3 linked regions of the Rhinolophus ferrumequinum genome follow. The protein of the gene in region 2 interacts with the protein of the main gene of each other region in a biochemical or structural test. Links are inferred from orthologs where the notes say so. Each region holds a gene or a part of one and is shown on either strand. Other genes may lie near its edges.

The links. The genes of interacting proteins can lie anywhere in the genome.
Region 1: the proteins of ARF6 (region 2) and CYTH2 form a complex in vitro, tested with the Homo sapiens proteins (3 studies listed by BioGRID and IntAct, with this or other methods). The link is inferred for Rhinolophus ferrumequinum from reciprocal best matches to the Homo sapiens genes ARF6 and CYTH2.
Region 3: the proteins of ARF6 (region 2) and HTR2A form a complex in vitro, tested with the Homo sapiens proteins (2 studies listed by BioGRID). The link is inferred for Rhinolophus ferrumequinum from reciprocal best matches to the Homo sapiens genes ARF6 and HTR2A.

The regions. Positions count from the first base shown.
Region 1 is NC_046298.1:44,013,343-44,017,090, reverse strand, and holds the start of CYTH2 (cytohesin-2), read right to left. Parts: upstream 2,400-3,748; 5' UTR 2,199-2,399; coding exon 2,180-2,198; intron 1,351-2,179; coding exon 1,203-1,350; intron 1,106-1,202; coding exon 1,039-1,105; intron 20-1,038; coding exon 1-19. UniProt on the Homo sapiens protein: Acts as a guanine-nucleotide exchange factor (GEF). Promotes guanine-nucleotide exchange on ARF1, ARF3 and ARF6. Activates ARF factors through replacement of GDP with GTP.
Region 2 is NC_046289.1:42,166,732-42,170,479, forward strand, and holds the start of ARF6 (ADP-ribosylation factor 6), read right to left. Parts: upstream 2,297-3,748; intron 2,197-2,296; 5' UTR 2,156-2,196; coding exon of another isoform or gene 1,740-2,155; 5' UTR 1,711-1,739; coding exon 1,183-1,710; 3' UTR 1-1,182. Other genes in the region: collagen alpha-1(I) chain, read right to left, coding at 1,740-2,155, 2,297-2,489. UniProt on the Homo sapiens protein: GTP-binding protein involved in protein trafficking that regulates endocytic recycling and cytoskeleton remodeling. GTP-bound form plays an important role in the transport of multiple palmitoylated proteins form the Golgi to the plasma membrane.
Region 3 is NC_046287.1:90,177,898-90,181,645, reverse strand, and holds the start of HTR2A (5-hydroxytryptamine receptor 2A), read right to left. Parts: upstream 2,887-3,748; 5' UTR 1,723-2,886; coding exon 1,311-1,722; intron 1-1,310. UniProt on the Homo sapiens protein: G-protein coupled receptor for 5-hydroxytryptamine (serotonin).

The DNA of each region.
Region 1 (3,748 bases), on a different chromosome or scaffold from region 2:
CCACCAAGAACTGGATCCCCTGGAGGGTGGGGTCTGGGTCTCAGTGCTGATGTGCTCAGAAAGCCACTTTCCACTACCTCCCCGGAAACTACAGCACGCAAACCCACCCCCACGCTCAACAGGGCAGGGCCAGGTGTCATTTTCAGGCTTCTCACAGGTCTTTAAATAACATCCCTCCCACCTCATAACCTTTGCACCTACTGTTCCCTCTGCCTTTTCCTAGTTAATTCCAGCACCCAGAGCAGGGTCCGCAAGGGACAGGAGCTCAGTGGATATTGGTTGAATGATTGAACAAACTACAATTGCTTCGGGCAGCAGTCTGTCAAGGGCTGTGAGGACCAAGCCTCAGACTGGACTAGGGCCTTCTCTGGCTCTCCTGATGCCATGAGGGCATCCATTATAGCTCTATAATGGACACCACTGAATTGTGGTATCCACGTCTAGGGGCTCCCTGAGGGCAGGGTCAAACTCTTCTCTGGGCTCCCAGCATTGCCTAGCAGAGGGGCAGGCCCAAGGGAGGCCTCAGGAACTGGGTATAAAGAGAAAGACTGAATCAACAAACATCTTTCCTCCATCTGGTGAACACCAACTCGTCCTTCACACCAGATCTGAACGTCCCCTTCTCTGGGAAGCCCTCCATGACTGCATTGGGCTCCCTCCTCTGAGTGTCCACAGCTCTTGTACCTCCATATCACGGCAGTGGTCAACCTGCCTTTGTGTATGTCACTGTCCATGTTCCCCACCAGACATAAGCTCGTCCTGGGACTCTAGGTGACACCGGAAGTGGGTCCAGGAATATGAGCAAAAAGAGGAAAGAGGATCTCCCAGAGAACACAGCACAGGCCAAGGTCAGGAGGCTGAAATATTTGGTTAGTATTCAGAGAATAAGTGGAGAGCCAGTTTCTAAATCCAGAGATTAGGACCAAATCTGTACACCTAAAGTAGGCCTTTAACCATCACACTTGTGGAACATGGAGGTGCCAGAACCTCCGTCAAGATATCTGCTAGGCGGATCCCAGCCCTGTGGCCCCCAGGCACCTTCTTGGGATCCATGTTGAACTTCTTCCTGCCCATGGCCATTTTCCGGTTCCGCTGCAAGGTCTTGCTGCAGGGCAGAGAGCAGGGGGATGGAGGGTCAATACCTGGGCATCCCTGGCCCCGGCCTGGCCCCATGACCCCCAAATTCGCTACCCAGCCCTCACCTGCCCTCATTGGCCTCCAGACCCTCCACCTCACTCATGGCTTCGCTGAGCTCCTCCCGCAGGCGCTGGATCTCCACCAGCAGCTCCTGCTTCCGTCGCCGGATGTTCTCCAACTCCATCCGCTCCTCCGGCGTAAGGTCTGGGGGTTCTAGGGGTCAGGAGTTGGAGGTCAGTTCTGTGGACTGTGAGCCTGGATTCCTGCAATCTGGGGGATGACAGGGGTGCGGGAAGGGGGAACAGGACTCCTAGGTTCGTGGGGATGATGAAAATGAGGGTCCAGCATCCTATGTCTAATGGAAGAAGGGGCTGGTGGCCTCTTGAGTCCTGGGGGAGGCGGGGACCCGGGGTCCGGGCTCCTGAGTCTGAGGGAGAAGGGGGCTGGAGCTTGAACTCTTAGGTCTGGGGGAGACTGGGCTAGCAGCCTGAACTGCTGGTTCCATTACTTGGAAAGGGGTTGAGGCCTTGGTGTTCTGCTTCCATTACTGGCAAGGTAGCTGGGACCTGGATGTCCGGACTCCTGTTCCATGAAAAGTTAACTATGGCAAGGAAAGCTGATGACAGCTCGTAAGAGTTGGGAAAGGGGGCGGGACATCAAAGGCCTCCGTCTTAGCCGGATCTCTGCAGCCCCCAAGATTTCTTCCCTACTCCGCCGCCCCCAGAAGTCCCCCTGCCTGCTCCCAGCAGGCACTGGGCTCGCCCGGCCCCTCCGGCGGGGAAGGTTCCGCCTCGGCCTCGCCTCCGCTGCTCCATCCCGTCCCCTCCCGCCGCCACCGGAAACAGGATCGGCCCAAACAATGGCCTGGAACGCCCCGCTCTAGGGTCTCGCCGGAAGCCCATCCCAAGCCCCATAAAAGCAAGGCGGCAACGATGGGGCCGAACGGCTCCGCGAGGTGAGCGCCAAAGGGAACGTTCGCACCGGAACGTTCGGGACGAAAGACTCCATCTGCTCGTGCCAGCTCCACCCCTCCCCGACCTACCATAGACACCGTCCTCCATGGCGGCTAGGAAGGCCCGCGGGGAGTCCGGGGCGGTCCCGCCGGTCGGGCCTGGATCCGCGTTGGCCCGCGGGCTCGAGTGAGCCCGCTCAAACGCCCCGGGAGCCACCGCCGCCTCCTCAGCGCCAGTCCTCAGCGCTGAAAAGACTCTCTCTTCGCCTACCAACCGCCCCGCCTGTAGGGACCGCCCCTCGTTTCGACACCGTCCAATCCACTGCAGGCCCTCTCGTCTGCTCCGCCCCCGGTACCGAAGGGCCATCCTCCAGGGCCAATAAGGGCACAAGGAGCAGACGTAGCCATGTCCGGTCGGAGGTAGACGGCCTGCGATGCCAATCGGAGTGCAGCCAGTGCGTCGGGCCCCGCCTCCGAAACAAAAGAAGTCACTTGGCTGGATTGCTCGCCAATGAGAAACCTCGGAAAGGATTTGCATGGAGGTGGGACTATGCGGGAGCACAGAGGACTGCGCCTGCCCAAGGGCTGTGGGCACAAGGACACTATTATAGTTCAACCGAGCCCCGCCTCTAGTTGTGTGTTTCGGGGGGGGGGGGGGCGGTACTTTGTTAGCCTTGTTGCTAGGGGGCGGGGCCACAGCTGTCGGATGTTTTCGTGAGCCACACCTCCTAGAAGTCCAAGCTGGCTTTTGACCGCAGCGGTTGCCACGCAACCGGGAGCAGCTTTGGTTAGCTCACCTTTCTTTTATCCTCCTTCCTCCGGGAACTGGCCCCTCCGATCTCCAGTCCCTTTTCTTAACCCCTCCTATGACCCCATCCACCTCAGCCTCTTCAAAGTCAACGAGTGGTGGAACAAAGACGTATTCTTTCTTCTAAATGCTACGCTATTTGGTATCTGTCAAGGAGAATGGGACAATAGGGAAAGGCCAAATATAGTGAAAGCAGAGGCTCCGCCTTCCTGGCACCTGCTGACTCTCAGGCTCTTCCCTCTCCCCCAAACTCCTCCCCTTATTTTAGCATCCTCCCCCTCTGACAACTTTCCTCAGCACCCTCCCACCTCTGATTCCTTCCCCCTTCTAAGAGTCCATTCACTCCTTTCCAACTCGCCTCATTCAGGTTCCCCCTTCTCTCACATTCTTGCTCTTTTTAAATGCCTTTCTCCTCTCAGAATTCTCCCGCATTTGAGTCCTCCCAGCCTCTCATTCTCATTTCTCGCAGGCAAAGCAGGTGCAGGATCTTGGCCTGGATGGAGAACCTGGGCACCCAGGTCCGTAATTGGGTCTGAGGTGGTGTCTGGGCCTCGTCCTCGTTCGCTGCCTCTGGGCTAGGCAGGTGGGGACAAATTCAGGGCCAGGACCTGGTTAAACTGACAGATTAGACACAGCGCCTCCTAATCCCCTTACTGACCTTTATGAGTGGCCCAGGCCCTGCCCTTCCAGTGGAAACCCAGGCTGTGCCATCCCTGACCCTACTCTCTTTCCTTCCAAACAGAACCTTTTTCCTGTCCCTTTATCTCCAACGTAACATCCTTCTCCATCCCTGTGTTTCTATTGTCCCCAGTCCCTACCCCAGATAGACACCGTGAGCTGGGAGAGCAGCC
Region 2 (3,748 bases):
ATAAAACTCTTCCAGTGTTCTAATTCATGGAGGTGTGGATCACTAAACTATAAAAAGAAAGACTTTATCTTCAATCAGTTGCTGTAATGTGAAAACAGGAATGTGTGTATTTCCAACTAGGTAAAAGGTGCATATAAAATTTGAATTGTTAAATGTTTCATTAATGAACAAAGTAAACATTCTAGTAATTTAAAAACTATTGGTCTTAGACATTGAAACATGGTAAAAGTATATATTCCAGTTTTGCCCAAGTCACTTAAAATATCTACAAATATTTTGACTGTGTGTGGGTGGATACACCATTATTGCTCCATTTTCTGGAAAGTCTTTTTAAAGTTAGAAAAGAGGGAAAACACAGCAAAATTGCTAACTTTGCAGTGACAAAAATCTGTGTCCTTAGACGGGTTACAATTTTATATTTTTATGCAGCGTTAAGTTAGCTATGTAATGGGGAACTTGAGTTTTATCCCTACTCATGCATGATGTATGTTTCAGAATTTAATAGCTGACATTTCAAAGAACTTCTTATATTACCTGTTTAACATACTGATGTGCAACTGGAACATATTACAATATTACTCACTTGCCACTGTGGGCTGAGTTTTCTATACTGGTCTTAGATATAAAAGGTCACATTTGAAATTACTAAGTTAAAGTTGTAACTCATAAGGGAGGGGGGAAAGGCCTTAAATATAAAAGACAAACGGCAGTTTGATTAAGCAATAATTTTCAGTTTACTAGATGAAACAGACTTGCAACATAGTCTGCATGAATGCAAAATAAGCCATCTACAGCAAGTGATAAGGAAACTGGGCAAAAAGGAAAAAAGCATACATTGGAAGGAAAGATTCTGTCAAAATAAAAAAATCATACCATTATTATAAAGGACTTTACCAAGAACTGCTATATTTCCCCCATCCCATTTGCTGGAAGTCAACAAGAGCATCTAGCACTTTGTGTTCATGTCAAATATCAGATCAGAGCATCCTACCGCAAAGCAAAAAAAAAAAGAAAAAAGAAACAAAAAGGAAATCCCTAATCCCCCCCAAACTGTAGAAGAGCAACTCCAGAGTTCAAATTCAAAAGAAGAGAAAGTGGCAATTGAAAGAGGTGATGGTGGAGATAATCCTATGAATGGGTTTTTGATTTCTCTCCTTCCGGGGGATGGGTGGAGAACACTCATTAAGATTTGTAGTTAGAGGTTAACCATGTGAGCCCCTCATAGAGTCCATCCCCTGAGGTGGCACAGGAGGGCTGCACATACCAGTTCCTGTCCCGAATCCGGGTCAGGCCCAGTTTCTCCTGGATCTCGTGGGGTTTCATGGCATCAGGCAGGTCCTGCTTGTTGGCGAAGATGAGGATTATGGCGTCCCTCATCTCCCGGTCATTGATAATGCGGTGCAGCTCCTGGCGGGCCTCGTCGATGCGGTCGCGGTCGGCGCAGTCCACCACGAAGATCAGACCCTGGGTCCCGGTGTAGTAATGCCGCCAGAGCGGCCGGATCTTGTCCTGGCCGCCCACATCCCACACGTTGAACTTGACGTTTTTATAAGTCACCGTCTCCACGTTGAAACCCACGGTGGGGATGGTGGTCACTGACTGGCCCAGCTTCAACTTGTACAGGATTGTTGTCTTGCCGGCCGCGTCCAGGCCCAACATGAGGATCCGCATTTCCTTGTTCCCGAAGATCTTGGATAGCACCTTCCCCATCGCGTCGGAGGAGCCGGGGCCGGGGGCATTCAGGTGTCCCAAGTCCCCTCTGCCAACAACGCCGCCGCCGCGAAACCGAAACGAAGCCTCCCAGCCGCGAGGGCGCCCGTGAGGCCTGCGTGGGAGTTGCCTCCTCGGGACAGAGGCCCGGGCCCACCGCTCACTCGGGCATCACCGACCACACAACTTGATTTCTCCAGTCGCCGCTGCCGCCGGGGCCCTGAGTCTACGCCGGGAGAGCCGCCGCCCTGCTGAGGCGAGGCGCGGCCCGGCCCGGAACTGCCCTTCCCCCCGCGAGCGCCGCGCGAGCGCCGCTGCGATTCCCGCTCCTCCGCCTTCTCCTCACTCAGCCGCGGGAGACTGCGACCCTGTGGCCCGCCCGCCGGTCCGCGAACGCCGGGCTCACCACCGACCCAGGCCACCCGAGGCAGCGAGGCTCCGGCGCCTCGTCAGGTCATTGATCCTCGCGGGAACTCGGTGCGCTGCCTGCAGAGACACAGAGAGGGAAAAGGGAATTACAGCCGGAGCTCCAGAGGGGAGCGGTGGTCCAGGTGGCCTGCCTTTCCAGCTCGGCCCGGGAGGTTACCTCCAGCCGCCGCCCCGAGCGCGGGCTCCCTCCGGCCTCCACCGCCTCCTCCCAGCTCTGCCGCCGCCGCCACCGGAAAAGGCGCCGAGGAAACCGCCTCACTTCCCCTCCCGAGCACGCAGGCGCAGCACAGGCCGACCGTTCGGACAAGAGCGACCTCTGTAAGGAGAGCGGCCCGCGCGCCAAGCGTCATTGGCGCCACGAGCAGAGGGGGCGGGGCTACGGCGGCTCGGGAGGGCCTGCAGGTGCGGCCAGCCCCCGGCCCGAGTCTCGCGCGGACTCGGACTCTTGCCCGCTTGTGGCTATTCTAGCGTCTCCTCCCTTTTTTGCTGTCTTCCGCGCTTTCTCCTCCAACACCTCTCGAACCGGAGAAGCAAAAACCCCAGGGAGCTGCCCAGGGCGCGGCCCGCGGGCAGCCCGCTCGCACGCCGAACGCCTCCCTCATGCTGCTGCCAGGTGTCTTCTCAGAACTCGCTGCCTGCCAGATCCGCTGAGAATTCCCTCCATCCCGTCCCAACCTTCGCGCTCACTCGGGCTCCCAGGGAAGCCCTATCCGCTGCTTTTACCTTCCCCCCACCTCTCCTTGGCTTTCTTTATTCCTCGTGCTCTGTGGGTTTCCTGCAAGACACGTGGGAGACAACTGTTTCGTATGGAATCTGCCAGTCAATGCGGTGCTTTTACCGGCTTGGGTTTGCTCTGAAGCCCTTTGAGTATTTGAGCCTTTATACATCTCGTCAGGACCAGCCCACGTTTCTTAAAAATTATAGTATTATCAAGAGTTCCTGTACCTTGCCGCACTTTAAACTTTTTAGAAGGTGATAACTTTTCGTATGTAAATATCTCCTCCTTTTAGTGTATTAGTAGCTGCTTATCCACCCACCCATTCTTTAAGAGGCATGGACGATATAATCTTAGCATACGATTTAGAATCAGGTAGAGACTACTTCTGTGGCCTGGATCTAGGCATTTAACCTTGCGAAGTTTGTTATGTGTAAACAGTGTAATACTGGCTTTGCTCTCTCCACCCCATTTGAGGGTTAAATAATATTTGTGGAAGACTTTAGGAAACCTTTTTATATCATAGTGATAAAGAGGCTTAAAATGAGGTGAAAGCTTAAAATAAATGAACCAAGGGGAGGAAAAACGAAATTTTTTTAAAGGAAGATGGTAAAATGGCATATGGTAACATACTTTTTATTTAAGAAAATACTTATAATTTAAGTATTTAACATAATTTAATAAAATTTGATAATGGTAGATCATGCCTGAAATAAACTTACTGTGTTTATTTCCGGCAGTTATTACCACGTTTCCCGGAAAATAAGACCTAACCGGACAATTAGCTCTAATGAGTCTTTTGGAGCAAAAATTAATATAAGACCCAGTCTTATTTTACTTATAAGACCGGGTCTATATAATATAATACCATGACTGGGTCTTACATTAATTTTC
Region 3 (3,748 bases), on a different chromosome or scaffold from region 2:
GGGCAGTCCGAGCTTCCTAACCCAACTGGCGGATGCCTGCCCGGCCACCTGCCGCTCGGAGTCTTCCCTAGCCTCTCTCCGCGGTTTTAGTTTCCAGACCCGCACTGTGAAAGTCATCCCCCACCTCTGGAGTTTGCATTTGAGCAGGGTAGGGATATAGGAAGCGAGGACCTCTCCAGAATGTCTGGGAAATGACAGGCCAATTTAATGAAATCATCTGGGTGTGACATTTGAGTGGTCAAGTGTGGGGGTGTGGGGACGGGCTGGTTTTGCAATGAGCATTATGGACTCTGTGTGAACTGGCACCTGTTCTCCATTGCTCACTCCCTCCTTCCCACTCCTCAGGGCGGGATTGATTATTGTTTTAGCCCCTAAGTCTTGGCCAGAAAATCCCTTTTTAATGACCGTGCTCCTCCTAACCTGTTTCTAGCTCTGGGTGATTGCTGATGTGTCTGTGTCAGCAGTCTCAATAGTCATATTCTCTCTCTCTCTCTCTCTCTCTCTCTCTCTCTCTCTCTCTCTCTGGAGAAATCTGGCCGTATTACTCATAATTTGGAAAGAATATCACATTCTGCTCCCAGCTGAAACCGCCCCAGTGTTTGCTGACTTGCTGAGAGGATTGACTCTTTCAAACTCTGTTGAGAAGAAAGCAAGATTAATTTCTTCCCATTTGTTTTCCACCCTCCTCCACACCAGTCTGGAGGATTTTATGCATATGAATCTTTAAAGAGTTGAGGGTATAATTCAAAGGCCCACTTCCAAATTTGCTTCTCTGGGCAGGGAACAATTAAAACTGGAGTAATTCATTTATTCTAATGGGGACTCTGCATATTTTAACATTAAACCCACTTGCACCATTAGTGTTCTCTCTGCAAATGCTCCAAGATAATTGGGAAGGTTTTACTACTCCATTAGAAGTGCTGAAAACTGTGTGACAGAGATAAAAGTGTTCTGTCCTGAAGGCTGTAATATTTGTGAATATAAAGGAGTGAAAATAAACTGGATTCAGAATGACAGATAAGTTATTGCTTTATGACTGTATTGGGACATTTATAATCATTTCTACATAAAATGTACATGTTTCAAAGCACAAAACTCTCCAGTGATCACAGATAATAGGTTGCCTGTTTTCATATATGTGAAACCTCATTTTAAGAGTAAAGTTGAAGTAACTAGAGTTACATGGTAGACCCTTGTCTATCAGCAAAGCCTTGTGTTTACTTGGTCCCGTGAGCCCTGGCTCATCTGCTAATGACATGCACATGCTCTGTATCATCAGTGGGTATAGTTGGGAAACTAATGCCACTCACCATATAGGATGGTTAACATGGACACGGGCATGACAAGGAAACCCAGCAGCATATCGGCTATGGCAAGTGACATCAGGAAATAGTTGGTGGCGTTCTGCAGCTTTTTCTCTAGGGACACTGCCATGATGACGAGTATATTTCCAGCAATGGTTAGGATAATCACTACAGCTGTCAACAAAGCAGACCAGTTTTTTTCCTGGAGATGAAGTAAGGAGAAGCATGGTGGTGAGAGGCAGCCCTCACAGGAAAGGTTGGTTCGATTTTCTGAGTCGACTGTCCAGTTAAATGCATCGGAAGTGTTAGCTTCTCCAGAGTTAAAATCGTTATTGTAGAGCCTTGTGTTATCATTTAGTTGCATTAAGGAGTTCGTACTTGAGCTCAAAGAAGTATTTTCTTCACACAGAATATCCATTTCTCAGCCAGAACTTATAACAGATGAAGTGTAGAAAAACTAACAAGTTAATAGGCTCTGCTCACCATCCATCTTTATGTCCCCACACTCCGTCACACTGAAGCTGGTGTACCTGCTGGGCTCCTTTGGTTGGCTTTTTTTCCTCCCATTATTACAACAGTAGTTGAAGGACTGCAGTGGCTCTTTATATTTCCTTCCTTCACAATTTTAGTAGAGTCTTCTGCTTGGTTTCATTTTTTTGTTCCAAAGCAAGGTCAAAAAGGCAGAATGAACTTTTAGCATAGAGGTTTCAGAGTTTTGAGCATTTGGGGAGAAAAATGTGATCCTGGCCAAAAACAGAAAAGTTTTGTAACTACCAGGAATCTCGTTTAGCTCTGTCTCATTCTGTTGGTTATGCGGATCACACTAGGTTAGCCACAGCCGTCTTAAAACAACATGCAATCCAAAACAGCAGGGCTGTATGCCTTCTACATTAAGAAAGTCAATTAAAAATACATTCAGTGTTAATCCCAGAGTAATTGGATGTACTTTGGGTTATAATTCTCAGTCTTAGGCAGAACTGCCACAGCTGCTGCCGGGAATTTCAGCTTGTATTATGTTGCTTAGTTAATAAAAGGGGACAAAAAAAAGTCTTAAGCAAAGATTAACAACTTTCCACACTAGAAATTCTCATTGTGAAATGATTACATTTTGGCCAAGCATGATTTCAAGCCAGAAAGAAAATTACACAGCAATAAAATATAGCATGAGAAGATGAGAACTTACATTTGTCTTCAGGGTCCTCACATCAGACACACTGCTGTTCTGTAACTCGTTGCATCTCTCATAATAAATAAGCTGGTATAGAGTCCCTTCTCCTTGAGCCTCCACCAGCATAATATGATAGTAATTTGATTTCTGTTTTGCTGACTTCAAAAACTGCATGTAAGGGTCAAGCCAGTTCCAGTGCTGCGAAGCCCGCCTTGGCGTTCTCTGCCCCCGCTCAGCTGGGTCACTCCCTCCCTGGGCGGCTTGCCTCAGCGAGGCACACATTTAGAATCATTCACAAGCCCCTCTCAAAGTCACACAAAAGAAATCTCACAGCAAAGTAGGAAGAGCAGCCTGCACCGAGGGTCGCGTGGTTTCCACGGGAATGAACTAGCTAGCTCTCAGGCTGTCTCATTCACGTCGTCAGACCTCCCTCTATCTGTGTGTCATAAACTGCAAGGTAGCAACAGCCAGCAGGGTGGATCGAATAGGCTGTTTTTTTTTTTTTTTTCCTTTTTGCTACACGTTAACGCTGGGAAGTTTCTCTTTGTTTTTAAAAGAGAGAAACTGGAGAATTCACATTTTGTACAATTCCTAAGGCAGGTAAGCTGCACTGGTGATATTTATTAGGGTGAAGATAGAACACGAAAATAAGGCTAGAGAATGGTATATCCTGGGAGAGTGCCCTCTATAAACGAGGCGCTTCCATCCAAAGCCCACATTCTTATGCCTGAAGTGGGATTACTGACCTTGGCGGCTTGAGCTCTGTGTGGTCAAGCAGATCTTGGCCAATAACTCTGAAACTATTAGTACCATTTTAATTTATTATGACATACATCTACTGTTCAAATAGCTTATTTTCTTCAACAGAAATATGCCATGGAGAAGTAATTCAAAACCTCACATGTAGAAGAGAGTAAGTTGGTTGTTTAGAGATGACACTGGAGAGCCTGCTTTCCTTGTAAGAAAGCCCCTTCTCAGTTTCTAAACAAGGCAGATATGTGTGTGGATGGATGTGTATACACACACACCCGTAGCTCCTTATTTTTATAGATGAGAAAGTAGATTTTTTCCTGAATAGTTGGGTTTTTCTAAATTTCTGTCCATCATTATCTTCTCTTCTTACCCTTTACATACTCCCTAGACAAAATCAGCTATTCTCATGCCTTCAACATGTTTGGGGCCAAATCTGTACCTTCTTAGCAGATTATTTCCCCCAGCTTCAGACCGAGATATCCAGCTGTCCACTGGGCCTTCCTTCAGCAGCTCAGGCAATCTT